Coturnix japonica: one gene and its partners. The protein of the gene in region 1 purifies or fractionates together with the protein of each later gene. This does not show direct contact. Links are inferred from orthologs where the notes say so. Each region holds a gene or a part of one and is shown in the gene's direction. Other genes may lie near its edges.

Evidence for each region.
Region 2: the proteins of STRIP1 (region 1) and PPP2CB purify together in Homo sapiens (affinity purification with mass spectrometry; 6 studies listed by BioGRID and IntAct, counting the BioPlex papers as one, with this or other methods). This does not show direct contact. The link is inferred for Coturnix japonica from reciprocal best matches to the Homo sapiens genes STRIP1 and PPP2CB.
Region 3: the proteins of STRIP1 (region 1) and FGFR1OP2 purify together in Homo sapiens (affinity purification with mass spectrometry; 3 studies listed by BioGRID and IntAct, with this or other methods). This does not show direct contact. The link is inferred for Coturnix japonica from reciprocal best matches to the Homo sapiens genes STRIP1 and FGFR1OP2.
Region 4: the proteins of STRIP1 (region 1) and SIKE1 purify together in Homo sapiens (affinity purification with mass spectrometry; 3 studies listed by BioGRID and IntAct, with this or other methods). This does not show direct contact. The link is inferred for Coturnix japonica from reciprocal best matches to the Homo sapiens genes STRIP1 and SIKE1.
Region 5: the proteins of STRIP1 (region 1) and SLMAP purify together in Homo sapiens (affinity purification with mass spectrometry; 4 studies listed by BioGRID and IntAct, with this or other methods). This does not show direct contact. The link is inferred for Coturnix japonica from reciprocal best matches to the Homo sapiens genes STRIP1 and SLMAP.

What each region holds. Positions count from the first base shown.
Region 1 is NC_029541.1:1,697,377-1,703,267, forward strand, and holds the start of STRIP1 (striatin-interacting protein 1), read left to right. Parts: upstream 1-2,124; 5' UTR 2,125-2,151; coding exon 2,152-2,268; intron 2,269-2,664; coding exon 2,665-2,734; intron 2,735-2,957; coding exon 2,958-3,032; intron 3,033-3,144; coding exon 3,145-3,279; intron 3,280-3,510; coding exon 3,511-3,631; intron 3,632-4,323; coding exon 4,324-4,392; intron 4,393-4,581; coding exon 4,582-4,688; intron 4,689-4,925; coding exon 4,926-5,053; intron 5,054-5,198; coding exon 5,199-5,381; intron 5,382-5,513; coding exon 5,514-5,731; intron 5,732-5,891. UniProt on the Homo sapiens protein: Plays a role in the regulation of cell morphology and cytoskeletal organization. Required in the cortical actin filament dynamics and cell shape. Part of the striatin-interacting phosphatase and kinase (STRIPAK) complexes.
Region 2 is NC_029519.1:30,568,342-30,574,316, reverse strand, and holds the start of PPP2CB (serine/threonine-protein phosphatase 2A catalytic subunit beta isoform), read left to right. Parts: upstream 1-2,550; 5' UTR 2,551-2,688; coding exon 2,689-2,790; exon of another isoform or gene 2,791-3,978; intron 3,979-4,613; exon of another isoform or gene 4,614-5,975.
Region 3 is NC_029516.1:62,493,372-62,498,753, forward strand, and holds the end of FGFR1OP2 (FGFR1 oncogene partner 2), read left to right. Parts: intron 1-1,807; coding exon 1,808-1,921; intron 1,922-2,214; coding exon 2,215-2,328; intron 2,329-3,083; coding exon 3,084-3,221; 3' UTR 3,222-5,262; downstream 5,263-5,382. UniProt on the Homo sapiens protein: May be involved in wound healing pathway.
Region 4 is NC_029541.1:3,921,942-3,927,845, reverse strand, and holds SIKE1 (suppressor of IKBKE 1), read left to right. Parts: upstream 1-2,478; 5' UTR 2,479-2,609; coding exon 2,610-2,916; intron 2,917-3,003; coding exon 3,004-3,146; intron 3,147-3,694; coding exon 3,695-3,808; intron 3,809-4,156; coding exon 4,157-4,246; 3' UTR 4,247-5,023; downstream 5,024-5,904.
Region 5 is NC_029527.1:6,505,914-6,511,295, forward strand, and holds part of SLMAP (sarcolemmal membrane-associated protein), read left to right. Parts: intron 1-853; coding exon 854-988; intron 989-4,367; coding exon of another isoform or gene 4,368-4,451; exon of another isoform or gene 4,452-4,457; intron 4,458-5,382. UniProt on the Homo sapiens protein: Associates with the striatin-interacting phosphatase and kinase (STRIPAK) core complex, forming the extended (SIKE1:SLMAP)STRIPAK complex.

The sequences.
Region 1 (5,891 bases):
CTCCCTATTTGATGGCTGGGGTCCCCTATTTGATGGCTGGGGTCCCCTATTTGATGGCTGGCCGGCTGTGGGGAGCTCACTGTTTCAGGGTGCTAATCTGAATTCAGATGGGGGTCACTTAACCCAACGTCATCCTCATCTCTCTCATAGGTTATTTCTTCTTTTTTTTGTGTGTGTTTGTTGGTTTTTGGGTTGTTTTGTTGGTTTTTTTTTTAGCCAAACTGCACCTTAATTTGAGTTGAAAACTGCTCTTTTGACCTGTTTCTTTGTGTTCCTCTTTATGTTGACGTTGAAGGAGTGATGTGTCCAGCTGTGGAGTTCAGGCTCCGTCCCGGCAGGACACGGCGGGTGCTGTTATAGACTGTCTGCTTTTATTTCTGAAGGGCATTTCACTTCCATTCCAAGGCTGATGCACAGACTGAGCCTTCCCCACACCCCATTGAGCCCTCTGCACCCTGGGCTCCCCTTGCTGCCCATTCCCCGAGCTGAGCTTCCTCAGCAGCATCCCTCAGCATTCCAAGCCACTCTCATCTCCTCCTCCTTCCCTTTCCCATCCTGGTGACCAATGTTTCTCTTCACCTCCATCTCTTGCAGCTTATTGTTGGGGGAAATCCCTTGCAACCAACCCAGTGAGGTTCCTCCTGGCTTTTTTTCCCCCCTTTCTCCCAATGCCTCTTTCTTCCCTTAGCAAAGGCAGGGAGGGATTCGCTTCTTCCCCCACTGCCTGTTACAGAGCTGACATGGGACCCCCACCCAGAGAGCTGCAACCAGGGATGGGGGCTGCTCCCATGGCTCTGTATGTGGCTGCGGTGCTGCTTGTCCCTCAATGGGGGGGATGATATGAGGATGGATGGGGCAGCTTTGCCCACCTTCCTGTGCCCTCTGCTCTGTCTCTTATGGGGCTGTGTCCCCCCAGCCCTCATAGGCTGTGGGCAGGGGGGGTCTTTCTAACCCCAAGCTGGGGGCTGCAGCTCCATCTAAGCCATGTATTGGGAGGGGGGGGGAGGCAATGTCAGGCTGGGAGGGAGAGAGAGAGAGAAAGAGAGAGAGGTTTATTTTGTATATGACTGATTTTTAACGAATGCAATATGATTAATCCTTGCAGACGAGCAATAAATCATTAAAAGTCTAATGAAAAAAAAAACAAAAAACCAAAAAAAAACGAGTAGGAGCATAAAACGACCAACATGGCAGGTCGGTGGGTGAGTGCTTACAGCCTATGGGGGCACATAGGGGGGTGGGGGTCCTCCAAGCCCCCCCCCCAGCCCCTCCAAGGCCTGTAGTTGGGGTTGGATCCTCATTCACTGTAATGGGGGCTTTGGGCCCATATGGGTTATGTGGGCCCCATAGATCTGACCTGATTAGTTATAACCCATATGGGTTATATGGCCCCCTGTGGGTTATGTGGGCCCATGTGGGTTATATGGGCCCCTGTGTGTTATGTGGGCCCCTGTGGGTTATGTGGACCCATATGGATTATATGGCCCCTATGGGTTATGTGGGCTCATATGAGTTATATGGGCCCCTATGGATTATGTGGGCCCATGTGGGTTATGGGTTATATGGGCCCCTATGGGTTATGTGGGCCCCTATGGATTATATGGCCCCCTATGGGTTATGTGGGCCCATGTGGGTTATATGGCCCCCTGTGGGTTATGTGGGCCCCTATGGGTTATATGGGCCCCTGTGGGTTATATGGGCCCCTCTGGTGGGATCTGCTCCCCCTATTTGGGCTCTGAGCTGGTTCCGGGGTCACATCAGGTCATTCCGGACCCCCCTTTGGTCCCCATCCCCCCCCCACTTCCTGCCACTTCCAACATGGCGGCCCCCAGCCGTCGCGTCACGTGATGGCCGGAAGTGCCTCTCCCAACATGGCGCGCGCCACACCTATCATGGCGGCGATGGGGCGGAGCTTCTCCTCCGGTCGAGGCGCCGCACCGGACGTGGCCACCGGGGGCGGGCGGCGCTGGGCGGTGCCGCGGCCTGAGCGTCTGAACGGCGGGACCGGCGGGAGGTGTCATGGCGGAGGCAGGAGAACGGCCGGAGCTCGGCGCCACTCCCAACATGGCGGCGGCGGCTCTACCCCGGCTCTCCCTGCCGCTCCCGCGAGAAGGAGGGGTGAGTCCTCGCGAGATCTCGCTGTGTGGAGCCATGGAGCCGGGCGGCGTTGTGGCGGGGCCGCTCCCGGCCAACAACAAGGCCCGAAGCGGGGCGGGACCGGCGGGGAAAGGCCGAGAGTTGGGCCGACCCCCGAGGAAGGACTCCGAGGTCAGAACCGGAACCGACAGAACCGGGCCCGGCTCCGCGGGGCGGGAGAAGGCCGGACGGGAGGGGCGGGGCCTAAGCCGGGCCGGTTCCGGGAGGGGCGGGGCCTGGTCCGGCCGGTTCCGGTGCCGTGGGCCCGGCCTGGTTCCGTCCCGATCCCACTGCGGCCCTGTATGGAGTGAACAGCTCCAGGGGGCGGAACCTGCGGCCCAATGCGGCAGCACGGCCGGGGGGTGGATTGGAAACGTTGGTGCTGCTGTGGGGCTGCAGGAATGAGGGGGGTGTTGGGGTTCGTTTGGGTCCGTTTGGGTCCGTTTGGGTCCGTTTGGGTCCGTTTGGGTCCGTTTGGGTCCGTTTGTGTCACTGAGCCCCTCATTGAGCCCCGTTCTTTGCCCCCAGGGCTACTCGGAGTCCCCAGACCTGGAGTTTGAATACGCAGACACCGATAAATGGGCGGCGGAGCTGTCCGGTAAGGGGCCCGTCCTCACAGCTCAATGAATCAGCATTGGGTTCTATGCCCTGATCGTGACCGAAGCGGTTCTGTCCCCTCCAGCGTCGCTTTGTTGCCTTTAAACACCTCATTCACATTAGAAGGGCTGTGTCACTTCATAGCAGCTGTTCCTTTGCCATTAACATTGAGCAGCCATTAACCCGTGGGTCGCAGGGTGACGGTTCTCTGTGCTCTTTGGCAGAGCTGTACAGTTACACCGAAGGCCCCGAGTTCCTGCTCAACCGCAAATGCTTCGAGGAGGATTTCAGGATCCACGGTGAGAGCCCCCCCTTGGAGCTGGGGGCACCAATAGGGCTGGGTGTATCAGGTTGTGAAGTCAAGCAGCCCTTCAGCCCCATCCCATATACATCAATGCTTTGGCTTTGCAGTGCGGGACAAGAAATGGACGGAGCTGGACAAGAAGCAGCATCGCACCCACGCCATGAGGCTGCTGGATGGGCTGGAGGTCACAGCCAGGGAGAAGAGGCTGAAGGTGGCCAGAGCAATCCTGTATGTTGCACAAGGTACGTGCTGGCGTTGAGCTGGAGGCCTTTGCTTTGTATTTCATCTCATACAAGTGGAGCTGAAGCAGTTGTCAGAGGAAGGAGAGTGGTCTAAACTGCCCCTGCAAGAGGGCAGCTCTGTCCTTTGCTTTTCACCTCCTGCTTTAGCATTAAAGATGTGACGTTCTGTCCATCTGCAAAGCACATTGGCTGCACAGAAGGGCTTTGCATCCACTCAGGGTGTCGTTACAGGCACGTTTGGGGAGTGCAGCTCCGAGGCTGATGTCCAGGCCTGGATGAGGTACAACATCTTCCTGCTGCTGGAAGTGGGGACCTTCAACGCGCTGGTGGAGCTGCTGAACATGGAGATCGAGTGAGTGGTGGGAGCAGCTGCTCCAGGAGCCGCTATGGGGCTCTGCTATGGGCTGAGATGCTCCAGGAGCCGCTATGGGGCTCTGCTATGGGCTGAGATGTTTCCCAAAAGGTGGCAAAAAAAAAAAAAAAAGCCGCTTGGGGCTTCTGCTATGGGCTGAAGATCTCCAGGAGCTGCTATGGGGCTCTGCTATGGGCTGAGATGCCTCCAGGAGCTGCTGTGGGGCTCTGCTATGGGCTGAGATGCTCCAGGAGCCGCTATGGGGCTCTGCTATGGGCTGAGATGCTTCAGGAGCCGCTATGGGGCTCTGCTATGGGCTGAGATGCTCCAGGAGCCGCTATGGGGCTCTGCTATGGGCTGAGATGCTCCAGGAGCTGCTATGGGGCTCTGCTATGTGCTGAGATTCCTCCAGCTGGTGGCAGCTGTGTTGTTCCCTGCCCTGTTTCTGTTCTATTCCTGTTCTGATTCCTACTCGAATGGCTGGCATTGCTGCGTGTGGATGTGTAGACACACAGGATGCACGCAGCAGATCTCTAACAGCCGTGCTGTCTGGCAACAGCTGCGTTCCCCCTCTGCTTGATGGGGGACTTGTTGCATTAGTGCTCACTCCAGGCTTTGATTCTGACACTTGGATTGCTTATAGTAGAGTTAAATGCCTCAGGAGCAGCACTGAAGCTGTTCTCTCCCTGCAGTAACAGTGCAGCGTGCAGCAGTGCAGTGAGGAAACCTGCCATCTCCCTGGCTGACAGCACAGACCTGAGGTATGGAGCTCTGCACGAGGAGCTGCTGTGTTGGCTTTATACCCCAGTATAAGAGCCCCAGCTCCCTGTTATGGAGAGTGAATGGGTGGAGGTGGGCTGTGGTTATGGCAGACCAAACCTTCCCTAAGAGCATTGCAATGTAGCTCATCCCAGCCTCTGGTTTTCAGCCCAATCTTGTGTTCTGGGCAGGGTGCTGCTGAACATCATGTATCTGATCGTGGAGACGGTCCGGCAGGAGGCTGAGGGGGATAAGGCTGAATGGAAGAGCATGAGACAGACCTTCCGAGCAGAGCTGGGTGAGGAGCCCACGCTTGTACAGGAGGGTTGGATGGAGGTTCCAAGGGCTGATGGGGAAGTGGGGGAGGTGGGTGTTGATTCTGGGCCTCAGGGTTGGTCTCTGCTATTGCTGAACCTTGGAGCAGGTGAGGGCAGGGAGCAGAGGAGCTGCATGGGGTGAGATGGGGAGCTCAGAGGTGGGGGTGGGAGGCACAGCAGGGTGAGCAGAGCCTGACTGTGCTGCTGGTTGGTTCCAGGAGCCCCTCTGTACAACAACGAGCCTTTCTCTGTCATGCTCTTTGGGATGGTGACCAAGTTCTGCAGTGGCCACGCTCCACATTTCCCTATGAAGAAGGTGCTGCTTTTGCTCTGGAAGACTGTGCTGGTAAGGGAGAGGACGTGGGCTGGGCCAGTGTGTGTGTCTTACAGCTCTACCCTTATTAGAGGAAATTCTGCCCACTCACAGCCGCCTGCCATTGCTCCGTTCTCTTATTCCTGGCACCTTCGTGGTGTCGTTCTGTCCCTTTCAGTGCACCCTGGGGGGCTTTGAGGAGCTCCAGAGCATGAAGGCAGAGAAGAGGGAGGTCCTGGGCCTCCCCCCACTCCCAGAGGACAGCATTAAAGTCATCCGCAACATGAGAGCTGCCTCCCCACCTGCATCAGCCTCCGACCTCATTGAGCAGCAGCAGAAGCGAGGCCGGAGGGAGCACAAGGTGAGGGCAGAGCTGGGGACAGGGGTGTGAACCAGGGGACAGATGGGCTCAGGATGTGACCTTGGAGCAGTCTGTACTCTGTATATTCACCTGCATGGGGCAGAACCCACCTTCCTCCCCTGTTCCCTCCAGGCCCTGATTAAACAGGATAACCTCGATGCCTTCAATGAGAGGGACCCATACAAAGCTGACGACTCCCGTGAGGAAGAGGAGGAAAACGATGATGACAACAGCTTGGAGGGGGAGACCTTCCCCCTTGAACGTGACGAGGTGATGCCTCCACCCACCCAGCATCCCCCCAGTGACCGCATCACCTGCCCCAAGGGGCTGCCCTGGGCACCCAAGGTCCGGTGAGTCCATAGGGTGAACTGCAGGGAGAGGAAAGAAGAGATAGCATGAGTGGTTGGTCTGCCGATGGCTTCAGTGGCTGTTCAGTCACTGAGGGGGGCTCAGCACCATCTCTCTGTCTGGCCACAGGGTTATTCCTGTGCCTGGGGATCGGGCTGTGTC
Region 2 (5,975 bases), on another chromosome or scaffold:
ACTGTACTGAAAGGGTTGGTTGGTCAGTGACTGTATTGTACTGTATGACAACGCATAAATTGCCTTGTATTGTTTCTAATGGACTGTACCATGTCCCCCGTGGATCTCCATGTCCCTAGTTTTCCAACAATGACGCATGTTATCAGTTAGGTCCTACAACTCTGTGGTGCTAACTCTCCCATACCTGATGGTGCTTCTGTGGACACTAACTGAGGACATGCTGGCCAGAGCTTGAAGTTTCACAGTATTTCTCCTCTGTTTGTACGAAGTGAACACACACACACACACTAAATGATAAACTTGAATTTGTTTCAAAGCATCATTGACAATCTAATGTTTTCTATGTGTGCTTTTATTTGGGATGGCTTTTCCAGAAAGCAGCTCTCTCCCCCTTGGCTCACAGCCACCCCTGTGCTCCAGTAGGCAGTCCTGTCCCCTTTCTCCATGGCGAGCATGGGGCCAGGATTCAGTGTGACTCCTCTGCCTTTGGAGGTGAGCTGCTTCCCCAGCAGCTCTCTGCATGCTTATCTGTGCCTAAAAAGGACACCTGTGACCACTCCATCCCCAGGTAGGTGAGCACTGTGGTGCTGCTCCAGCTCCTCCACAACCAAAAATGGAGTCTGTGGCAAGAATTGGCTTTTTACCAGAAGGGAGGGAACTACTGAAAGGGAGCTGGAATTCCAACAGGCACCTCTGTCCTGTGGTGGGAGAGCCCATGCATGCAGCCCTGCTGGCAGAGGAGTCAGTGCTGGTTCTGGAGCTTCATGGGCAGACCTTTCCCATCCCAAGCCCCCTACACAAGCTGCTTTTTGGACAAAACAAAATCTGAATATATTTTATATCTATTTGAAAACGAAGTCTGATATTTACCCCTGTTACCAACTGAATTTGCGTATTGTTGTTTGCCACAATATTTGTTCTGTCTTAAAATAAATTTGCTTACTTGTGTAGTCTGAACTGTCTGCTCTAATTCTTGTTGCCTGATGCACGGTGCAGTTGTTTCAGGGCTCAGTCACTCAGAGCTGGCTTTACAGTGTCTCCCACGTGGGAGCTTCCTGTGAGAGAGACATAGAAATGTGTCCGTCTGTGAGGGGCAATAATTTTAACCAAGACCCAGAATATAAATCTGCCTCTCGCATCTTCTCCCCAGGGCTTTTCAACCTTATGTCCTCTTTCACCAGTGTTTCATAATTACACCCTTCAAAATGGTAAGTGCACAAGAGAAGAATCGCTGCATTTCAGTATACTTAACAGTTAAGAGATAAGACTGTTATTAATGTTTCCTGGAGGCTAAGTAATTTCTGATGTTGGTGTTTTGCATTTTAGAAAGAAATGATTTATTGTGATGAACTCACTGAAAACAGCAGCCAAAAGCTGTGGACATCTAATGATGTTCACAGAAGGAGACCTAGCAAAATCTTTTCTTCCTCCTCAGAAAGGCAGACAACACCGTCTTGGTTTTTCAGTACCATGCATTAACAAGGCATTTGCATTGGTTACTAGAGATGGTACAAAGGAAGGCAGCACTCACAAGTGGTTGCAAGCCTTTTTTCCCATGCATCTTCAGGTACAGAATCCAGTCTGTGAGTAGATGAAATTAAAGGAACAACAGTGCCCATTTCTGCCTCCCTGTAGCCTCAAATGGGAGGCAGCAAGTTCTGCTCAGTTCCTGGGAGTGCCAAGCATCCTCACACCACCCTGAATAATGTATATTTGTTTCCTCAGATGATGTATTGTGCCCCATCAAGTGCAACCACCCAATACTGCCTCTCCCACAAGTGTGCTGGGACTCAGCAGAGCCGCTGCAGAAGAGGTGTGCAAGACTGTGTCAGGTGCTAGGGGTACCAGGGAGAGCCCATGCAGCATGGGGGGTGAATGTGAGGGCTGTGCTGTGCACGGGTGATATGCAGGGAGGAGATATAGGAGCGCTGGAGTGAATACCACACCAGCAGGACCCTGTGGAGGGTTGGGTGACTTCTCTTAGGCACATACCTCTTTCCAGCACGTCAGCATCAACCTCAGCACTGCGTGGAGCCATCCGGTCCAGGTGGAAAACATCTTCCAGGTGCATAACACAGTGGGGCTGAAGTTACACCGCCCTGGTGTCCTCACCAAGGACCAGGTGGAAGCATTACAAATGCTTTATGGATCTGGTTGCTTAAGTCTTAATTTACGAGACTGAGAAGTAGAATTCCCTCAGGGCTCCCTTTTGGTGAGATAGTGGGAGAGTCCCAGTTGGTTTCAGCGGTCCAGGGGCTCTCTTGGCTGAGTCTTCCAAGCTGTTCACAGCTCACAAAAGGCATCATTTATGAGTACAGAATGGCAGAGGACTTTTAGGAGCAACTAAACAAACTGTATTTGTGTAAATACATGACTCCCTTTGACTCTGCTGAACGCACTTTCAGTTGCACAGCTCGCTATAGGCGCACAGCGCTCTAACCCCTTTGACTCCCAGCTCCACCTGAGGGACGGACCGTTACGCCCGTCGCGAGGCGCCGCGCACGCGCAGTGCCGGAGCGGAAGCGCGGGCGGGGGCGGCGGCAGACGGAAGTGCGCAGGGCCGGGGGCCGCCATTCCGGGAGCGCAGCAGGCCGCGCGCCCCCGCCGTTGCGCCGGCAGCCTCAGGCGGGACCGGGCCTCGCGGGCGCCCAGTGCGGGGGGGGCCCGGCCCCGGCCGGCAGCGCCGCCATGGAGGAGAAGAGCTTCGCCAAGGAGCTGGACCAGTGGATCGAGCAGCTGAACGAGTGCCGGCAGCTGAGCGAGAGCCAGGTCCGCAGCCTCTGCGAGAAGGTGAGTGAGGCGGGGAGAGGCGGCCCGGCGCTGGGGCCGGCCGTGCCGAAGATGGCCGTGCGAGGCCTGGAGCTGCGGCCGGCTGGAGGGGGCTCGGCTGTGCCTCGGGGCCGGCCGTCGTGGCCCGCCCGGCGCTGCCCGCATGGCGGATCACTGCGAGAAGCGCCGGCTGTAGAACGGCGCCGAGCCGGAGCGCGGCCGTCGGCCCGCAGCCGTGGGGAAAGCCCTGACGTGTGATGAGGGGCAGCGGGTGGGCTGTGCTGCCGCCTTAAAGACAGGCCTACGTTGTGGGGAGGGAGGCCGGGATAGAGCAGGAAGTGGTTGGAGAGGTAATATAGTTTGCCGCAAAGAGCCTTTTCTCCTGTCAGGAGACAGGTTTGGGTGGCTTTTGTCTGAGAAGTTAAATGCCTGTGTGCGAGCATAACCATCCATACTGCAGTGTATAGCTGAGCTAGGATCTGCTTGAATGTACGAGCTGTGACAAGGCCAAGGAGCTGAGGTGGGCTCAGCACAGCAGCTCAGATTGTGTTCTCTATGTACCTCAGTGACAGCAGGGACTATTGCCGTGCACTGGATCAGCTGGTAACTGCTCTGCCTCATGTGCCTGACAGCTAGTTCATTGGTCCCTGTACTGTTTGTATTGCTGATAGCGAGCTAGGTTTTGTGTTGTCATTACCTGTGTCTCACTGAGCTCTTGCAGAAGCAGGTGATCTGTTGTGGTGCCTGTTCCTGGCATTCTGGCCAGTGGCAGCTTTCAGAAGATGGAACTATTTCTTTTTTCTTTTCCCCCCAAGTCTTCAGTAGGCCACCGCAGCAATAGGTTTGAACAGTAGAGAGAGCCTGCACCACCGCCTTATAGCATGCTAGGAGTGCCCTTCAAAAGGTAGGAGCTGAGTGTCACAGGCAGATATTTGTTAGAAGTCAAAGCCGTGGCTGCCTGACATACACTTTTACTAGTAGTCCTGGATTGTCTGGCTGCACACTGGCCTGTTTCTCCCATTCTGTTTTTTTACCCACGCTGTAACTGCCCATTTGCTTTATGGCTTTTTCTGCACTCACCAAGCTGGGACAATTGTGAGAAGGGCTGGTGCTGCAGCAGGGAGCAATTGAAGAGCCTTGAGATGTAGATGTCTTCAAAAGAGTGAGCTTCTTGTAGCTGTGCTGTCGTTTGAAGTCCAGCTGATGAGCCTGAAAGAATTGATTTGCAGTTCAGAACAGCAAGAGTTCTGAACTGCTGCACCAACCACCAAGCTGCTAAATAATAATAATAATAATAATAATAATAATAATAATAATAATAATAATAATAATAGTAATAATTCCCTTCTTAATTAACAGCAAAGCCAAAGAAGGAGCTGTGGCTGCTGTGCTTTCAGAAGCTGGATGGTATGATCAGTAGGTTGTATTGCAGTCAGTGGCTGCAAAGCAGGGAGAGGTGCCAAGTGGAGAGCACAGCTGCAGGTGAAAGGAATGTCAGTCCTCCAAAATGACGGGTAGGATGTGAACCATGCGAACCTGTGAGGCACAGCATGTTTGCTCGGAAATAAATGTAAGCTATTGGAGCATCTGGTTTTCAGGTAGCGTTGGTAACTGATCTGCAGCGCTGTCAGAAAGCTTGGGTTGCTTCCCCAAGATAATACTTGGAGAAACCCTTAACAACCTTTCTGGTCATATGCAATAGTAACTCTTGCTTTAGTTTTTAAATTAGTAATAGTATTAGGTGGTTAAAATGGGGGGGCGGGGGGGAAATAAAATAAAAAAAATACTCTGAAAGTTTTCTATGAAAGCATGGGATACAAAACCAAATTGAGTCCCAGACTTACCTGTGTGTATCGTTCTTGGTTTCACTTGCTGGCCTCACAGACAGTGAGGAGGGAAGGACTGGAGATAGTTGGCTCACACAGGGGATAGCAGCTGTTCTTCTCTCAGAAAGCTTTTGATAATTGCACCTGTAGAATCACTGTAAATTGATCTGCCTGGTTATGACATAACTGGCAGCTAATCCATCTTAGAGTCTTTGTAGAATTAATCAAGATGTCATCTGGTGATAACATTAAAACACTTCCTGTTCTGCTGCTCTTAAAATGAAAACTAAAGTCATGCTGATATTTAGTATGTAATAGAAAAACAAACAATTATTGTCACTACTGGAGCTTCCAGGCACCAGAAATGTTTCCAGCCCATCAGGGAAATGAACATTAGGCTTCTTGCATCTCTTACTGTTTAACTTTATTATTGTAGATCATCTGAGTAGATGAAGGTTGTTAAAAGCCTTTTTTTTTTTTCCCCCATTAAATAGGCAGTGAGAAAATCTTTAGAGCTCAGTCTTGGATGCTGTCTGCACTTAATCAGAAGTGCAGTGGCACGTTTTGTATCCGTGGTTGTGCTGCCTTTGAATTTGGGTACTGACAGAAGGGTAGCACTTAATGCATGGAACTCCTTTTGATCCCGCGTGGGTACTGCTGCCCCTCATTACCTGCACTTTGAGCAGCTACAGCCAGGCTGAAAGACTGAGGAGGTGGATTCATTTTAACAGGAACTGCTCTCAAGGTTGGACGTGAAAAGCTTTAAATGCTGCTTGATTTGAGATTCAAGTCAAGTGAGCAGATTAATTCTGCTGATGAGGGAGTTGAGGCTTTAGTTATAATAAAGACAGTTTTTCATTAAGATAATAAGATACGGCATAAAGAAAATCCAGTTAAAGGCTGTTTCTTAAACACAGGCAAATGACTATCTATAGCCATCTATTTCTTTGTAGCTTCCTTATTTCCCCCTTCCCCCCCATCTTCGGTCTTCATATGTCTAAGAGGGGGGTAGAGACTTGTTGTTGTGAGCAGCTGGAGAGCTTTGTGTTGTGAAGTGGTGGGAGGAAAAGGATTCTAACCACTAATGAACACTTGCATTTCTTGTTATTGAAAAGTAATTGTGCACTGATTCCTCAAGCTGAGCAGAAGGAGCCAGTTGGTGCTTTAGGGAGTACTGCTGTTGCTAGCATGTACGTATGGCAGTTCTGCCCTCTGAGATTATTTTGCCCAGGAATAATTTTAATAGAATGAGCTCGTAGGCTCCTCTGCAGTAATTGGTGAAGTTAGTATGAGCAACAAAGCCAAGTTACATCCTGGATGCCATTCAAACCATGACACATTCTGAGAGTGTTATGCTGGATCACAGTCAGCAGTATTTTA
Region 3 (5,382 bases), on another chromosome or scaffold:
TGAGAATTGCTTGTAATGAGCCTAAGCATGCTGTCTGATCTCCTGTTAGTGACCTTGTAACAGGCTCTAGATCATATTGATCGAGATGCCACATAAGCTTGCCAAATGAGACAGCTGTGTATCTAAAAGCCACTAATTCCTTCCCAGTCCTTCTCCAGGATACATCCTAGCCTGCTCATTCTTTTACCATTGATCACAGCTTCCTTTCAAGCCATATTTATTCTTTTAAGAAACTCTTGAAAAACAACTTTCAGTGAAGGAAAAATGCTCAATGCACCCACTCTCACTGGAAATTGAGAAGAATTTACAAGCTTATTTACAGGAAGCTCTTTTTCTCCTCCCCACTCCTTTCCCTCACTTCCATGCTGCAAACAAACACTTAATGAGTAAACAGCTAAACCACAGCTTTGGCAACTGAAACAGCAGAGAAGGATGGGAAGGGCTGATGTTCATTTTTAATGGTTGGTCAGACTGTGATTCCAAGCAGAGGAATTTTTTTTTTACGATAGTTTAATTGTTTCTGAGAGTTCAAGGGCAAGGTGATGATCTGCTAGATGTGTGGACTTCTAATCAAGTTTGTCATTTAAAGATGGTATTTAACTTTAATCTGTGCTGTTCCTCACTGTACATAGCAGATTTCAGTCCTACTGTTCTTTTTCTAGTAATATTTAATAAATGTTGTGAATTTTGCCCAAAGGTCAGGCCAGGCATGGAGAGGCAGGTCTGTTAGTGGATTTGGAATAAGAAACAGGTTGAAAGACTGGACAAATTAAAAGCGTCTGTAAATACATTAAAGTATTTGGCTTAACTCTACAGCAGTGAATGCCAAATCACTTAGGCTCTTCATCTACATTTTTCAAGAGAAATAAGCAGAGGCTCTATAAGTGCTTCTTGCTGATATGCTGGCCAGTGAGAAAGTAAAACATCACCCAAGCCAACAAGGGCCAAGTAAGATATCACTTATTTGCAAACAGGGGAGATTATTCAAAATCTAACTTCCCTGCAAAGGCTGTTAGGCCTGTGTTAATGTCTCCTATCATCACTTTCCTGGCAGTGGAACAAGATGAGCAAAGACAACTACTGCACTTGTTGTTTTTTTCTCCTCCATGAATATTTCAGTGAGATGCAGTAATTATTTATAATAGGGAAGTACCCTATTGGTATTAATTAGTGGAGGTCAGGCAGGACACGAGGGTGTTTCTAGAGTTCAACAAGGACAAGGACCTCTAGAGACCAGATCCCAGATAAGCTGAAATGGGAAGTGGATTTGAGCAGCGGTACCGCAAAAAGGACTCAGAGTTTTCCAACTTATGTCATAGTCAGGATGACAGCTTTGCCTGCTCTTTCTAACAGAGAAATGCCCACTCACGGGCGAGTACTGTCTGTACCAGACTTGCGACCAGCTTTCAAACAGGTCCAATATGCTGCTGTGCTCAGATGAAGTTGGCCTTTCTGCACATCCAGAAGGACGCATACATCAGCTCCTGCAGTACAGGAAGTTCTTGCCAGAGCAAACACGTGGCTGTCTAACAGCCATCTGGGAGACATGGAAGCTGTCAAAGGCACAGTCATTTGGGCATGTTTTCTTCTGTAAAACTCCTAAAAGTGAACCGTGTGGCAAACCAGATTGATTTAAATGAACAGAACTGCAGTGGCTGCTCATGCTGTAGAGTTAGCGCTTCTTTGTTTAGGTCTGTGTTTGCATTTTTATTGCATGACACGGCAGTTTAAATGCACATGTAATACTTTATTTTTAGTAATGAAGAAAGCTTATTACTAAAAGTACTGTTTTATCTATATGGTGTAGGAACTACAAGTGCACGTGGACCAAATTACAGAAATGGCAGCGGTAATGAGGAAAGCCATTGAAATTGATGACAAGCATGGCTGTAAAGAGCAGGAACGTATCATTCAGCTTGAAGTAAGTATGAGATCTTTTTTTGAGATTTGTGCCAGTGATGGCACAAATAGGGATCTGTCTTCCTCTACCCTCCCAGTGAGAAATGCTCAGAACTGACTGTGAGACAAGAAGTTGCGATTACACACAGATCAGAGTCTGGCTGTCAGAACAGGGAAACTCTCTGCCACTTATTTGGGGAGTTGGGGGAGCAGGTTACCGCTACCCAAATACGTTCACACAAGCTTTAAATTGTGCTCCACGTCTCTAAACAAAATATCTTGTTCTGACCCTACAGTTCTACCTTTCTTTTACAGTCTTTCAGTACTTTAGGGTTTAGGAATAGCCAGCTTCCCGTGCATCTGCTGCCAGTACTCAAAGCCAGCATTAAGATAGCTGCGTGCTATCTTCATGGAGCTGGACTGTTTCAGGTAATTAGTTTACTTAGGAGAATTAGTTTGATGTTGTATCAAGGAGCTGAGGGGGCTGTAGCTGACATGAGATTGGTCTCTGCTGCGGTGCCATCTTTCCAGAACTCGGGAGCAAATCATGTTCTGTATTCTTGCAGTAGATTTGCTGAAATTGCCACAAATCCTGAGATGCTGATTTAGACTTTTGCTTTAGTCACCTGCTTGGTTTTCCAGTCTCCCTCGGTATTAAATCATTTCCTTTGACAAAGGTTTTCCCAGTGCGCTACCAATTTGGCTGCTTTTTTATAAGACGTTGTGGAACCAAGTCACACGTTATTATCGAGTGAGGAACTGGGTGCAATGTTTAATTATTTCCAATGCTGCTACCAACCCTAACAACAGTTTTTAAAGTCAGTAAACTCTTCAGTAAAGGGATCCTTTCTGTTTGTAACTCTGTGGTAATCCGGCACGTAAAACAAAAGCCGCTTTGTGCACTTACCTTCTGGTACAGTTCGTTGTGTGTAAAATGCCTTTGGTTCTGTTGTTCCCAGTGCTTCAGTTATTTCTAGAACTCAGCCCTTAGCAAGGGTGTTAACCTTATCACAGTTACTGAGTTACTGTCTCTTTCTTGAGTTACTGGATCATTCACTGGTACTGCTAGTTTGTTGCATGTCTTTTGTAAGTGTGTTTGTAGTAAAGGGAAGGAGAGATCCTTCATGTAGTTATCTGACTTTCTGGAGTTCTATTAAATGCCTTTTTTTATCCCTCGGTTATAGCAAGAAAACAAAGGCTTGAGAGAAATTCTTCAGATAACCAGAGAATCATTCCTGAACCTTAAGAAAGAAGATGCATCAGAGAGTACATCCCTTTCAGGGTTAGTAACAAGCAGTGATTTGAGCCTGAGGAAGAGCTGAAGACTGTGGAAGCCAACCAGCTTTAATTGCACACTTTACAAACGGAATATCAGGGGTCACTTGTCAAGCACTTGTTACTGAATAGGGCACCAGCAGGCTTATGCATCTTGAACTTTGGTTTAGTGGCTTTTATACCGTGTAAAATAAACTCCAGTCGGTACTCTCTGAATACCGTAGTGACAGATTAATTGCCATAGGTCTAACTTCAGTAGGAAATGGGTTAGTGCACTTATGGAATTGGGAATTATTTTTATATGAAGTCATTTTACAAATAAAATACATAATTTCACTTAATTTATATAATTTATTGCTCGGACAAAACTTCAGTGCACCTATTATACAATAAATGCAAGATTTAAAGTAGTCTGATATCTGGCTAAAAGATAGCGACTGACTACGCTTTGTGCATGCTCCATAGTTCATTTGTCCTTTTAGTTACTAAGGTTTGTGAAATTCAGCATTTAGCAACGAGCCTCTTTAATGGAAAGAGCCAGCAGAAAGCCGACGGGCTCCTGTTAGCCGCAGGCTGCCCTGTTGCAATGTAAGGCCAGTTGCTCAAACATAAGCAATACTTTTGCAGTTGTTTTTACCTTATGAGAGAAAATGAAGCTCAGTTCTCTGTGGGTGGCAGGCTGCCGTAGTCTCATCTGTTTCTTTGGGGATTGGCTGCCCAAAGCTAGAAACAGCAATTTGAAAGCACTCAGACCGTACTGAGGGAAAGATAATTGGGAGAAAGAGGTGAGAAATTCTATGGCAAAGTTAGCAGACTGTGCACCTGGAACTATTATTTTCTTTCTTTAAGTACTATTTAGTCAAGGAGTTTTGTGTATTTTCACTGGGAGCTCTCAATACATCACACTGACAAGACTGCTCACTTTTATTAGTGAAAAAGCTGCAGAGGTGAAAATGAATTAGCGCTTCTAGAACAAGAAGTAGCTTGCACGGTTTGCCTGTACACCAGAAGTGCTTCGTAAGATGTGTTTGCCATGAAAGAGGCGCCGCAATGATTGACAGCTGGCTTTTGTCAGACCGCTTCTGCTCATTGTTCAGAGCGCTAAGGCTGCTGCTAAGCGAGTTACCACATTTTGTTCAGCGTGTTACTATAGTCTTTACTTGGAACGCACACTTGAAGTACAGTAAAAGCTTTCAGTCACAGAAGGCTGCAGATGTACAACCGGTATCGGGGCTGTTTACTAACTTACTTACCTCGCACAATGAGTTGAAGTACTCTGCAATCAGTTACCATTTAAACAAGTTTCATTTTCAGTTGCAACAATGCAGGCGGGATGGAGCATTAAGCGCTATCAAATGCGGCTGTTTTAAAAACAATATTAAGTAAAACCTCCATAGACTCGAAGGTACATGCAACAAAAGGTCTACAATGGAACTTAAGATTCCCAGTGGATGGGCCGATTTACAGGGAGCTTAATGTGATCTCAAGCCCAAATGACACCTGCTGTGATCTAAACGTTACCCATGCTTACATAACAGCTTTTTGCATTTCTGCTGTAGCTTGCAAGCCGGTGACTTAGCAGCAGCGACATCTATTGTACCGCAGTGTGTTTTGGCACTGCCAGCTGGGAAGAAATTCTGGCTTCAGGTTTTTCTCCAAGTGTCTTTTCAGCTGTTGGCTGGTATCAGAGACATTCGCATCCGTTTGATACTGAATGCAGCTCCACGGCTGACCTGCACTGTCTCAAATACAGTCTGCAGAGGGTGTAGCAGAGAAGGGTTGTTAGACTGTGGCAGTTCTTTAAGGTTGCTCTATTATGAAATAATGCTTGATTAGTGTTTATTTTTGTAAATTAAGATATGTGACTTAATTTATCTACTCTTAGTCTTCACGTTTGATACGTCTCCCCTTCTGTTCCCCTGACCCGATCACTTTAGGACTTTAAAGAGCCTTCACGTTGTGTGGAGTGACTATTTTTCATTGCATACCTGTTATTTTTGTAATGCGGATAGCTTGAAAAGAATTTATGGCTAGAATTGTGTACTGTACAGTAAACTTATTTTATCAATAAAGTTGACTGAAAATAGGGATGTCTGTGTGATTAAAGCAAGGCCCTGGATCCCAAATGAGCCCTGTTTATAACATCTGAGATTTTGCATGTGCTTCAGTCCTAGAAAAGCTGTAGGAGCAATGAGGACAAACGCCATG
Region 4 (5,904 bases), about 2.2 Mb from region 1:
TTCCCACACAGCCTTTCCTGGGGTCGAAGCGAGGGCAGCTGCAAGTCCACATAAATCAAATAATAACTGGGTCATCAGGGACAGAGGCCACGGGGACCTTCACGTCACGGCTTCCCAGAGTTCTCCCTGACTGATTACTAAGTATTTGCTTTCTTGGTAGAATTTAAAATTCTCCCATTTTGATTGCTTAACATTGATATGCCCAGAAGTTAATGGAAGATGTTCACTGCTTTGTGGAGAAACTACTGCAATGGTATAAATTTGGTGTATCTACATGAAATAACGATTGAATTTGCAGACACTTGATTAGGTTGTTATATTGAAACACCAACACTTGGCACGTTCTGCCTGGTCTGGTGAGAACTGCGAGCTCCTGTAAGGTCTCATCCACATAGGAAGTCTTCCTTTCATAGTAGGTCTATGAATTTGATGAGTGCTGAAACTGCAGGTTCAGAGGAACCTTCCCTACGTAGGTGCCTGTCGAGAGAACTCATCTTCAAGATATGGAGAGATCTGCATTCATCTGAACTGGTGATTCTAGATCTTTGTAACTCGCTTGGTGTTTGAATAGTTAAAGGAAATCGTATCTACTCCAGCTGGGTCTTCTCTGCATAACTGACCCATTCGGCTTGATCTGGTATTGGATTGTTTACGTAACTTCAGTAATTAACCACTCTCAACCTCATTAATGAAACATAAACCACCTCTTCTATTCATTTATTAAGCCCTTGTCAAACAAAACTTAAACAAAGGGCAAAATCTCAGCAAAGGAACAGTCCAAAAGCTACTGGGATCTGCCTACAAGTTGCTACGGCCACTTTGTTGTTGTTTTGCAGTACAAATTAAACAGAAGCAATGGCTTTGTCTATTGCTCTTGGCTAACTGCTCACAGAAACATCTGAGCTCTGTCACATGAGGGCAGCGATGCCTCCACAACTATTTTGGTCATTTCAGTGCAAAATACCGATGTTCCAGTTCATTACTGTAAATCATTAAATGATGAAAGCAAAGAGTCAAATACTAAACAACCGGGATACTTTGGAAAACTAATGTTTTGGAGAGCCTCAATATATTTCTATCTAGCATATATTTTTTTCCTGCTAGAACAAATCCACGTTCTGTTTGACAAAATACAGTCATGTGGTTAAGAGTTATTAAAAGCATTAAAGCACTAACCTCTTGTAACCCCATTTTTCACTCTATACACATACATAAGTGTTTAATCGAATCGAAGTTAAACACTAAGATGCTTGAGAGGCCAAATTTATACATTCTCTTCAGTTTATACAGCGCTGATGTGATAAGCCAAAGGAATTATAAGACACCACTGCCCTGAGATCGCTCATCCGCTGCTTTGTTTAAGCTCTGTTGCTACATAAGAGAAGTCCTGGTGAGAAGCACGAGCAGCATTTAGATACAGGAGTGCTGTGCTACTGGGATCGGGTCGGTCCTGGCGCCACATGAACTCATTCTGCTGTCCTCTGGGAGTGGAACTAATGATTCTGTGTCAAGAGATCTGCTGGGCAGGGAGCGAGCCACGGCCCTGAGTGGGGGCATGGGACACATTAGGACTTCATCTCCTTTTCATTCTGTGTCTTTATTTCAGACACTCAGACAATCCTGACATGGAAGCCTGATAAAGCAGTGCCTCTCCCTTGTCTCCACGTGGCATGAAAGGCCGGAATGATATCTCTGAAGGAAGGGAAGAGTGAGCATTAAATCATGCCCAAAGGGAAGGAGAAGTGTAAGAAACAGAATAGGTTCAGACATACAACCCAAGTGCAGCTTGTGCTGAGGTGTAGTGTGTGCTCCTGCTGCTTCAGTCTGACTTCCCAGCTGATGTGAATTGAATTGCTGGTGCTGCATTGATCTCACTGAGTCCCCCGGGCTGTACGATGGGATTTAAGTGCAACAGGTTGTAAATTTGGTACCACGGAACTTCCTTAACTAGAATAGGGTGAAAGGCACGAACAGCTGAATTGTTGAGTGTGTCCCAAAGGAGATGTAAGCCCGCAGGGTGGCTGCAGGCAGCAGAACTGCTGACACTGCTAAAACACTGCTTAGAAAGTATCAAAGGAAAACGTGACACGACGAGAAGCGAAGCAGCAGAATCACCACGGGTGGCTACGGGCGGTTACAGCGAGCAAATAACAAAGAACGAAGTCAGCACTGCACAGCTTGTTATTTTAACTTGAGGAGAGGATGTTTACTGTCGGAGGGACAAACAGGGATACAGATAAGATGTCAGCCCAGGATTTAAAGGAGTTTGAAATCAAGATAACCAGGACCCCCCGTGGGTCACGGCCACCTGCGCTGTGCAAACAGAGCAGCTCCCATTGCCGGCTCTCAGATCCACGCCGTGTGACAGCGGGGAGCTTTGGATCCACGCGTTTAACACCATCCCCGCACCCAGCGGCCTCCAGCAGGCGGCGGTGCGGGCTCAGCTCCGGGCTCAGCTCACGGCTGCGCAGCTGCGGGGCGAGGAGCCGGCCCGGAAAAGGCAGCGGCTGTTGTGCGGGTGTTGTTGTGCCGAGCGGGTTCGGTCCGTGCGCTGTGCGGGACATGGGGCCGCCGCGGGACTGAGCAGCGCGGCCCGACCTGCGCCCACCATGAGCTGCACCATCGAGAAGATCCTGACGGACGCCAAGACCCTGTTGGAGCGGCTGAAGGAGCACGACACCGCCGCCGAGTCGCTCATCGATCAGTCCGCCGTCCTGCACCAACGCGTGGCCGCTATGCGGGAGGCGGGTGCGGGGCCGGCCGACAAGGGCAGCGCGGCGGCGGCGGCGCCCACGGCCGCGTCCCGGCGGGGTCGGAGCGTAACGGAGGATGGTGCTGACGGCTCCCGGCTGCGGCCGCACACGCTGCTGTGCCAGGAGAACACGCAGATCCGCGACCTGCGGCAGGAGAACCGCGGTGAGTCGGACGGGATGGGGCTGACGGCTCTCGGTGCACCGGGGGGGTCGCGTGGTGCCGTGTAACGCTGCGATCCCTGTCCCGTAGCGCTGTGGATCTCTCTGGAGGAGCACCAGGACGCCTTAGAGCTCATCATGAGCAAATACAGGAAGCAGATGTTGCAGCTGTTGCAAGGGAGAAAAGGTGAAGATGCGGAACCAGTGCTGAAAGTTCATCAGGCCAACTCTGTGGTAAGGTGGGATGGGGATGAGGAACTTGCTCTCTGGTTTGCTTTCATGCAACGTTTGTCTCCTTTCACGGGCCCATTCTGCTCCAGGAGCCTTCTTTCAAGCTCTGGTCCCTTTGGTATTTGATCTTTTCCCTGCATTCTTCTCACAGGTTGTAAATTATCACAGAGCATCCTGAACAGCACGAGCCTTTGGTTGTCCAGGTGAAGGCTTGCTGTGTGCTCTGGGTGATACATTCCTGGGGTTAAGCTTTAATAGCTTTGTTTTCACTTAAGAGGAGCACAGCAGAGGTGGTTATCATTACTGTTGAGTAACTGTAACAAAAGGAAAAGAGCCTCCAAAATCCCTATAAGCTGCCGTGTGTTGAGGTATGTGATGCTGTCTTAAAGCAGGGAGGATTACAAGTGGTTGGGAGGGAAAGATTAAGATTCAAAATGGGAAAGTAGTCCAGAATTAATAACATGAAAGTAATGGATTCATAAGGAATAAATTATTACTGCTTTTGCCTGAATGTATTAACGGTGTTTGTTTTTTTTCCCCATGTCTTTCAGGAAATTGAAGGACAAATAGACAGGATATGTGAGATGGGTGAAGTGATGAGAAAAGCTGTACACGTGGATGATGATCAGTTCTTCAAGGTACAGGAGAAACTAGCTCAGCTGGAGGTAAGAACCCACGACATCGCTAAGGACAGATCAAGCTTTTGGGGACTATAGATGGTTGTGTGTGTCAGGTGTTAATAACAATAAAAAACAGGGATGGTGGGTGAGGTTGGGAGGCAAGGAACATTTTCTGTTTAAGTTCTTTGTATTTCTGTCATCTTAACGATAAAGCCCAAAGTAAAAGGTGTCCTTTAAAGTGATGTGCTTCATCCCTTGTAAACATTAGTTTGAGTTCTAGATTTCTATTCGGCTGTGAAGGAATGGGGCTACTTAATTAACAGTCTGTAATCTTTGTTAATTAACTCATCTCTATCTCAGTTGAAATACTGATTATTATTTTTCTTTTTGCAGCTCGAAAACAAAGAGCTTCGGGAACTATTGTCCATCAGCAAGGAATCCTTTGAGCTCGGGAGGGACGATGTGCGTGACAGCGAAGCTTAGATCACAACACACCCAAACCTTGACTTCAGAGACTGTTCTGAAGCCACCCAACAAAGGACGATCTGTAACTTGTTCTTCAGGTGTTTCACATGTTCCATCTATCCCAATGTGTGCCCTGTGTTACTCTGCAATCACACACTCCTGATGGCAAAGGCTTGTATTGCTGCTCTGTATTATCAACCAAGTGAACCAAGTGCTTTTGGTGCCGGCTCTTTTGTGGCAGTTTATCTCACGAGTGTTACTTCCATAAGCTTTCCTCGGCAATTCCAGCTGTCACTTAGAACTGCCTGATATGGGGAACACAATACAGCTCCTGGATGTTGTATTTGCTAGAAGGAAGAAGAATTGAAGTCTATGTTATAACAAGTTGATACCTTGCTCTGCCTGCACAGTGGAGCTTTGGCTTTGAGGACCCAACCCTCAGTATTTGCTCACATTAATATTATATTATATTATAATAATATATATTATATATAATATTATATATATAATATATATTATATAATATATATATATATATATTATATTGATATTGTGATGCTCTCAGTGGCATTTTCATGCTGTTTTCAATGTAATTCAATGACACCCAATTGTCACTGTTACTTTTTGATGCTGTTTTTACTTAGTTTTGATAGATAAAGCAACTGTGTGTGTTATGAGTCTATTTGGATTATGCAGATAAAGGTGTTTAGTTGATATATGGGACTCCTGTTGAGGAGCATTGTACAGACTTCTTTCCTAGACTATTTTAAGATGGAATAAAGCAATTTACAGCCATTTTTGTGCTGTATTCTGTATTGTATCAATGCTGTCCCGTCGCCCCGTCCCACGTGGATCCCGCGCTATGGCGGTGCCGTTGGCTTTTGCGCATGCGCACCGTGCTGCCGCCGGTGGCCGTGAGGGCGCAGGCGCGGCCCCGCCCCGCGATCTCGCGAGAGGCCGGGATTAGTTCCTACGTGCGGTGCCGTGCTGCTCATGGCGGCGCTGGAGCGGGGGCGCTGAGCTGTTGGGGTGAGTCCGCCCGGCCGGGGGCGCCCGGCGCTGCGGGGTTCGGTGCCCGCGGGGCTTAAGGGACACGGAGCCCGAGGGGAGCGGCCTCAGAGCCGGGGGGAGCCCTCGATCTGTCGGCCCGGCCGCGGCCCGTCGCGGCGCTGTCGGTGGGGCGAAGCCGCGCGGGGCCTCCCCCCGGCAGCGCTGCGTGTGGGGATGTGGGGCTGGGGCCGGGCCGGGCCGCGGCCTGTGGCTGCCGGGTTGAAGCTCCGCCGGGCTCGGGCCGGCCCATGGCGCGGCCCATGGCGCACTACGTTTCCCGGCGTCCCGCGGGCAGCAGCCGCCCCGCCGTGTGGGCCGGGTCCCGGCGGGCAGCGGGGCGGGGCCTGACGGGAGCGGCGGGTCGGGGGCCTCGGCCCGGCCGGGGGCGGTGCCGGGTCGGACTGCGGGGCCCGACGGGTCCCGACAGGCCGCGGGGGCTGCGGGGACGGGCCGGCGGAGCGCGGCTCCCGGCGTGCTGTGCGCCAGGCCCCGCCCGCTGCAGAGCCGGGCTCCGTCCCTTTGTGTGCGGGGGAGCGGCCGCCATCGCCCCCCTTTGTGTGCGGGCGGCCTGGCCCCTCCTCCACAACCTCCTCCCTCCTCCCCTCCTGCCTCCTTCCCTTCGCTGC
Region 5 (5,382 bases), on another chromosome or scaffold:
AATTGGGAGTCAAATCTGGAAGGAAGATGTAAAATAAAACAGCTTGTGTATACATGCTGGGAACTTTCTGAAGTTTACTTTCATGCCTTACCTTAGTGAAAGTACTTACAAGCTGTTCAGTCAGGTGAACCCAATGATCATCACTGTATTAAGTCTTGTTAGGCATTATGAATCAAAATGGAAGTTTTTTGTGTCAATACGATGTTTCTATTTAGTTTTACATGCGATTTCACAGCAGACCTGCACATTCTTTCAAGGTTTGTTTGTCCTTTCTTCTGAATGGACCATCAGGCTTTTACAGATGATTAACAAGTGCATAAGGAAAAGCTAGTTTATGGAGCCTGAGTTCTGAAAATCATGTCTGGAAGAAGGCTGTTGTCTCTATCAATTACTTGTTTATTTTTAGGGGCAGCTTGAGTGAAGTTTCCGCCAGTCACTGTTATTAGTTTGTGTTTCGCAATCTTGGTCTTTGTTTTGTCATGAAGTCATCCCTGTCGCATTCCTTACCATTTTTGGAATTTGAAAGGAGCAGTCTTGCTAATCTTTGTGTTTGTAGTCAGATGAGTTTGTAAAGATGCTTATCCTTTTAAGTTATGGTAAATGCCAGTACTGAAGGACATTGGTTTTGTGCCTTCTAATCCCTGTTAATGACAAATACAAGTAAACTTGTTTTCAGTAGATAAAATTGAGCATAGGGTAAGGCTTTTCTACCTTGCTAATATAAAGAGAGAGTATTAATCCAAGACAAGTTATACTAGGCAGTGTAGACAGAAAGGAAACTGTGCACTGAGCAAATGTGAGCATGTTTTTTGGGTGTTCAGAGGTCTGTAGCCTTCTTTCTCTTTGCATTTAGTATGAAAGAACACAGACAGTGCTCTCAGAACTGAAGGCGAAGTATGAGATGGCTGAACAAGAAAAGCAGTCAATCGCAGAAGAGCTTAAACAGTGTAAAGAAAACTTGAAGCTGCTACAAGAAAAAGGAAACAACGTAAGTCTGTACAAAATATTTGGGGAAGTCTGGTTATGACACTGACAGTGTTCTTGATTAAGGGAACATCTAAGTATTTATCAGAAAAGGCTGGACTTAAAAAGGAGCTGTGTACCATATTGCATGCAAAATTCCTTTCTGGTACTACCTATTGAATGTGTAGGTCATTTCATGGGTACAAATATATATGCAAATTAGATTTACAGTTGTATGGTGGTTTTTAAAACAGCCTTACTATTGTCTAGGAAAAAAAAAATCAAACTTAACTACCCATTAAGTACTAGGCAAAACCTCCCAGTTTCAGGGACTGACACATGGGTGAAATCTGAGAAACCTGGATCCAAATGAGTTAAGTGACTTTCTTCAAGGTGCTTTTAGTTCATTAGTGATTATTACGACATGTGTTCCCTCCTCAGTCTTGCTTACGCTTCTTAACATTGATTATTCCTGGTCAGCTCATGTTTTACACACGCAACTGAACCATCCTTTCTATTCACTCATGGAAGTAATTATTTTCTGTTATAGTTGGAGAGGCTGTGTTGTTAGTATTGAGTTTACAGCTAGAGACAGCATTTTTGGTTTATTTTTTTTAATACTGAAACTTCTGAAATCCTTCAAAAGTTAAGAGTGCAACAGATATTATAAAGTAATTACAGCCTTTTTACTACTGGGATGGCTGGTTTATTGTCTTCCTGTTCTGCTGCTATGAACCCCCCCACAGACAGCACAGAATTAAAGGTTTACAAGTACCATTCTCTGAAGATATCTGTGTCCTAGGGGAGGAGAATACATACTTACACCATAGCACACTTACTGAAAACAAACCTCTGACACAGTAGAGTTAACAAAGATGTGAAGAACTCAAAGCCATTCTACAGTTGGCTGTATTTTCATGAATAGGATGTTAATATTCTCTTGGAACCTATTTCTGCTTTAGAATTTTCTGTAATGCCTAAATAATGTTGAATTACTGAAATAGGCAGAAGTACAAAAAAAAAAAAACCAAAACACTTTCTGATAGAAGAGATACTAAAGTAACTGCAGATGTGAGATTTTTCTGCTCTGTTAAAACATTAATCTCATTGTTAAGTTGATTCATGAAAAAGGGGAGAAAGTTGAGGAAAGAAAAACACTGTGAAGGGAATTGGAGAAGCAGATGAAAGCTTGCAAGGTAAGGGAATTTTTAGGAAGAATTTGAGGTGATTGTCAAAATGAAATAAGGAACGACAGCAGTTGCCAAAACATATCTAAAGAAGAGGTACAAGAGTTGAAGCCTGGAGGTTAGGCTGTGATGAAGAGCATCCAGCCATATAAGGACTTGAAGGACGAGCTTGCTATTCAAGCAAGCATTACTCACAATCAGTAATGTAAAATATGTCTGTTTTGTGGAATATTTGAAGCATCATGAATACTGGGCTGACTTCCAAGGTCAAATTTTTAAAGTTCTGTTATCCCCTATTTGCTGGAAACCTTATCTGTTACTTTATTTGTGAGGACAGTGTCCTCAAGAAGGCAGCTTCCCTCTGTGGGATTTATTCATTTTTGTGGCCAGTCTGTCTCTGAGTTTGCATATCTACGTATTCTAATACTGAACGCATGGTTTTGATGAAGCATCTAATTATGTGCATTCCTCTGCAATAGGGAGATGTAAAAAATGTATTTTAATAAGCTCATGAGGGGTAAGATTTAATCATTTGAAAGAAACTCCATCAGCTTATCTGGTGAACTGATAAATACTAGAAGAGAGAAGGCTTCTCTGTTCCTTTTGTAACATAATTTAAATATTAAGTTTTTCTTATGCTTTCCCTTTCAGAAAGACAAAGCTTATTACTCTCAAAAAACCCAAAAAAACCAACCAAACTAAAAAGAACTGCAGTTTTGTGCTGTGAACTGCTTAGCAGTGTGGTGTATTGCTTGTGCTTGCATGTTTGTAGTCACTGATTATTTCCTGATGCGCTTTACATGACGGATTTGTTTATGTGAACAGTTTGAGAACATGAGCTGCTGTCACGGAGTTGACTGAAGCTTTTGGTGCTTTATTGAACACTGCTGTGATTATTTCTGCCCTTGTGCTTTCTTTGGGAAGATGGCACTGATTTGTGGCAACAATGACAAAATACGTATATATATATATATATAAAGTACTGCATGGAAATTAATAGTTGCATGTGATTTGTCAGTCTAATATTTACATTGAATACAACAAATCTGAATTATTGTAATGGCAAGAGTTGAATGGCAAATATTAGAATACCTTCTAAGGTAATTCTGAGATTTCTGTGTTCTTAACCCCATTGGAAGTTCTGTGATTGACTTCCTCAAATTCAAAACAGAATGAGACTTTATTTATGGATCCCAATGTTTTAGGAAGTCTCCAAACATGAATTTATTTGGCTGAACAAAATCAAGGTGAGTTCAGCACAGAGGAGTTCTTAGGAAAATATTTAGCATGATTTGAACTTAACCTCTGTGTGTATGTGCACGAAACATACAGGCTAAGATACAGAGAAAGCAGATGTCTTCCCGGGACAGCTTAAAAAGGAATTAGGTCCATTTTTGCTTCTAGTGTATTGTTTTGAGGATAGAGGCTTTCTCTCCAGATTGTGAAGCAAAGTAGTTTCCAGTTAATTGAAAATAACTGTGAAAATGTGCAGATTCTTGTAATGAGGCCATGAGCTAAACGAACCCCTTCAGTCTTGCTTGCTGGTAGTTTGGCCCAGCTGCATCATTGGATCAATCTTCAGAACTGCATTTGCTCACAAGTCTGATGCTCTACCAGAGATGCTGATCTTTGTGGTATCTCTAACAGAAATCTACTTCTCTGCTTTATAGTAACTTAGTGCTGATTGTACATTGTGTTATAACCTCACAAATGTCTGAACTACTGGGTTTGCCTGTGGACATAGTTGTTATTGATTCATTAATGGAGGAAAGAGATTGTTTTTCTTGGAGGCTGATGATGGAAAATAGGAAAGGCGGAATGAAGAAGCAGCTGAAAAATTCAATCTCTGGTATGAGTCTTTCTGCCTTACGAAATCCAGTTGGGATTTCCAATTACTTGCACAGAAAATCTAAAAGCAAATAGATATAAAATACAAGCAAATAATTTGTACTGTTTTTAAGTACTAAATTCCAAGTTGAGATGAAGTTTCTTAGAGTATTTTCTCCTCACTTCCCTTTATTTTTGAACGTTCCTGTTCATTTGAGTAGAATGGTGTACTAACTTTGTATACCAGATTAGATAATGCTGTATTATTAGATGTCTTTAATACATTTCAATTAAAACAAAACTCACTGACTTATTTTCCCCTCTCTAAATCATCTTTACCTGATTGATTTATAGCACAAAGTGATTTTTAATATCCCTTCCCTTCTTTAGCCTTCCATATTACAACCCGTCCCAGCCGTATTCATCGGCCTAATCCTGGCTTTCCTGTATTGGTGTTACGGCCCATTGTGGTAGCGAAAGGTACAAGCACTACTGTTCAGTCGATGTATGTTTGTCCCTCTCACCTGTTTGTGCCATTTCTGTATAAAATAGTGCATGGTGAAATGCTCACAGGTATTTCTTTACCTGAAGCAAACCCTTCATTTAATACGCCATTCTGTTGATACTGACGAGCTGAACGATCAACTAATCATTTAACATCTGTCTGATTCCTTTAATTCTAACAATTAATTTCATTCTAACTGGTTCTGAACGTGCCTCTTCTAACTTGGTCTCAGTTTGTCTTTAGCAAATGGGCTACCTTTTGCGCAATGCTGCGATGCTAGGGCCTGTAAGAAAGCTTATTTGCTTAATTAACTATAAAAAATGAAGAGTTTGCCTCTAAATAACAATAAAAATCAAGCTTTGGTTCTTATTTACGGACTAAGAAATTCCTCTCTGGCTGTAAACACTTTCATTTTTCTCACTTGCTGTGAAGAAGATGGAAAAAAGACAAGAAATAGGTGGTTGGTTTGTATTCTGACCTCTCAGCTTGCATCTTCTCTACTCTACTCCCAGTGTGTTCTTCTCTTACTGTCATCATAAAATGTTGTGACAACCTGCTAGAAATGATGTTGTTAGGGTCTGTTATGAACTGATTTCATAGATCTGGATTTAATCCTTCAAAAGCCAAGTTAAAGATGTCAGTACTGCATAAACCTGTCTGGCGATTACTTCGCTCAAGTGCTGTTTTAAACATCTTAAGCCCTCACAAATTGAACAGCCAATTTCTTTGAGGTGCGTATGGTAACGAAGCTGGATATATGGAACTGCCAAAGGTGTCTCCTCAGTCATGAAGAGTTCTGTGCTTCCCTTTGTTCACTCCAGGTCAGGGTTAGCCTGAAGTAGGGCTCGTGGGTAACGTTGTAGTGATGCCTATCAACAGGTACTCAGGACTTTGAGGAAC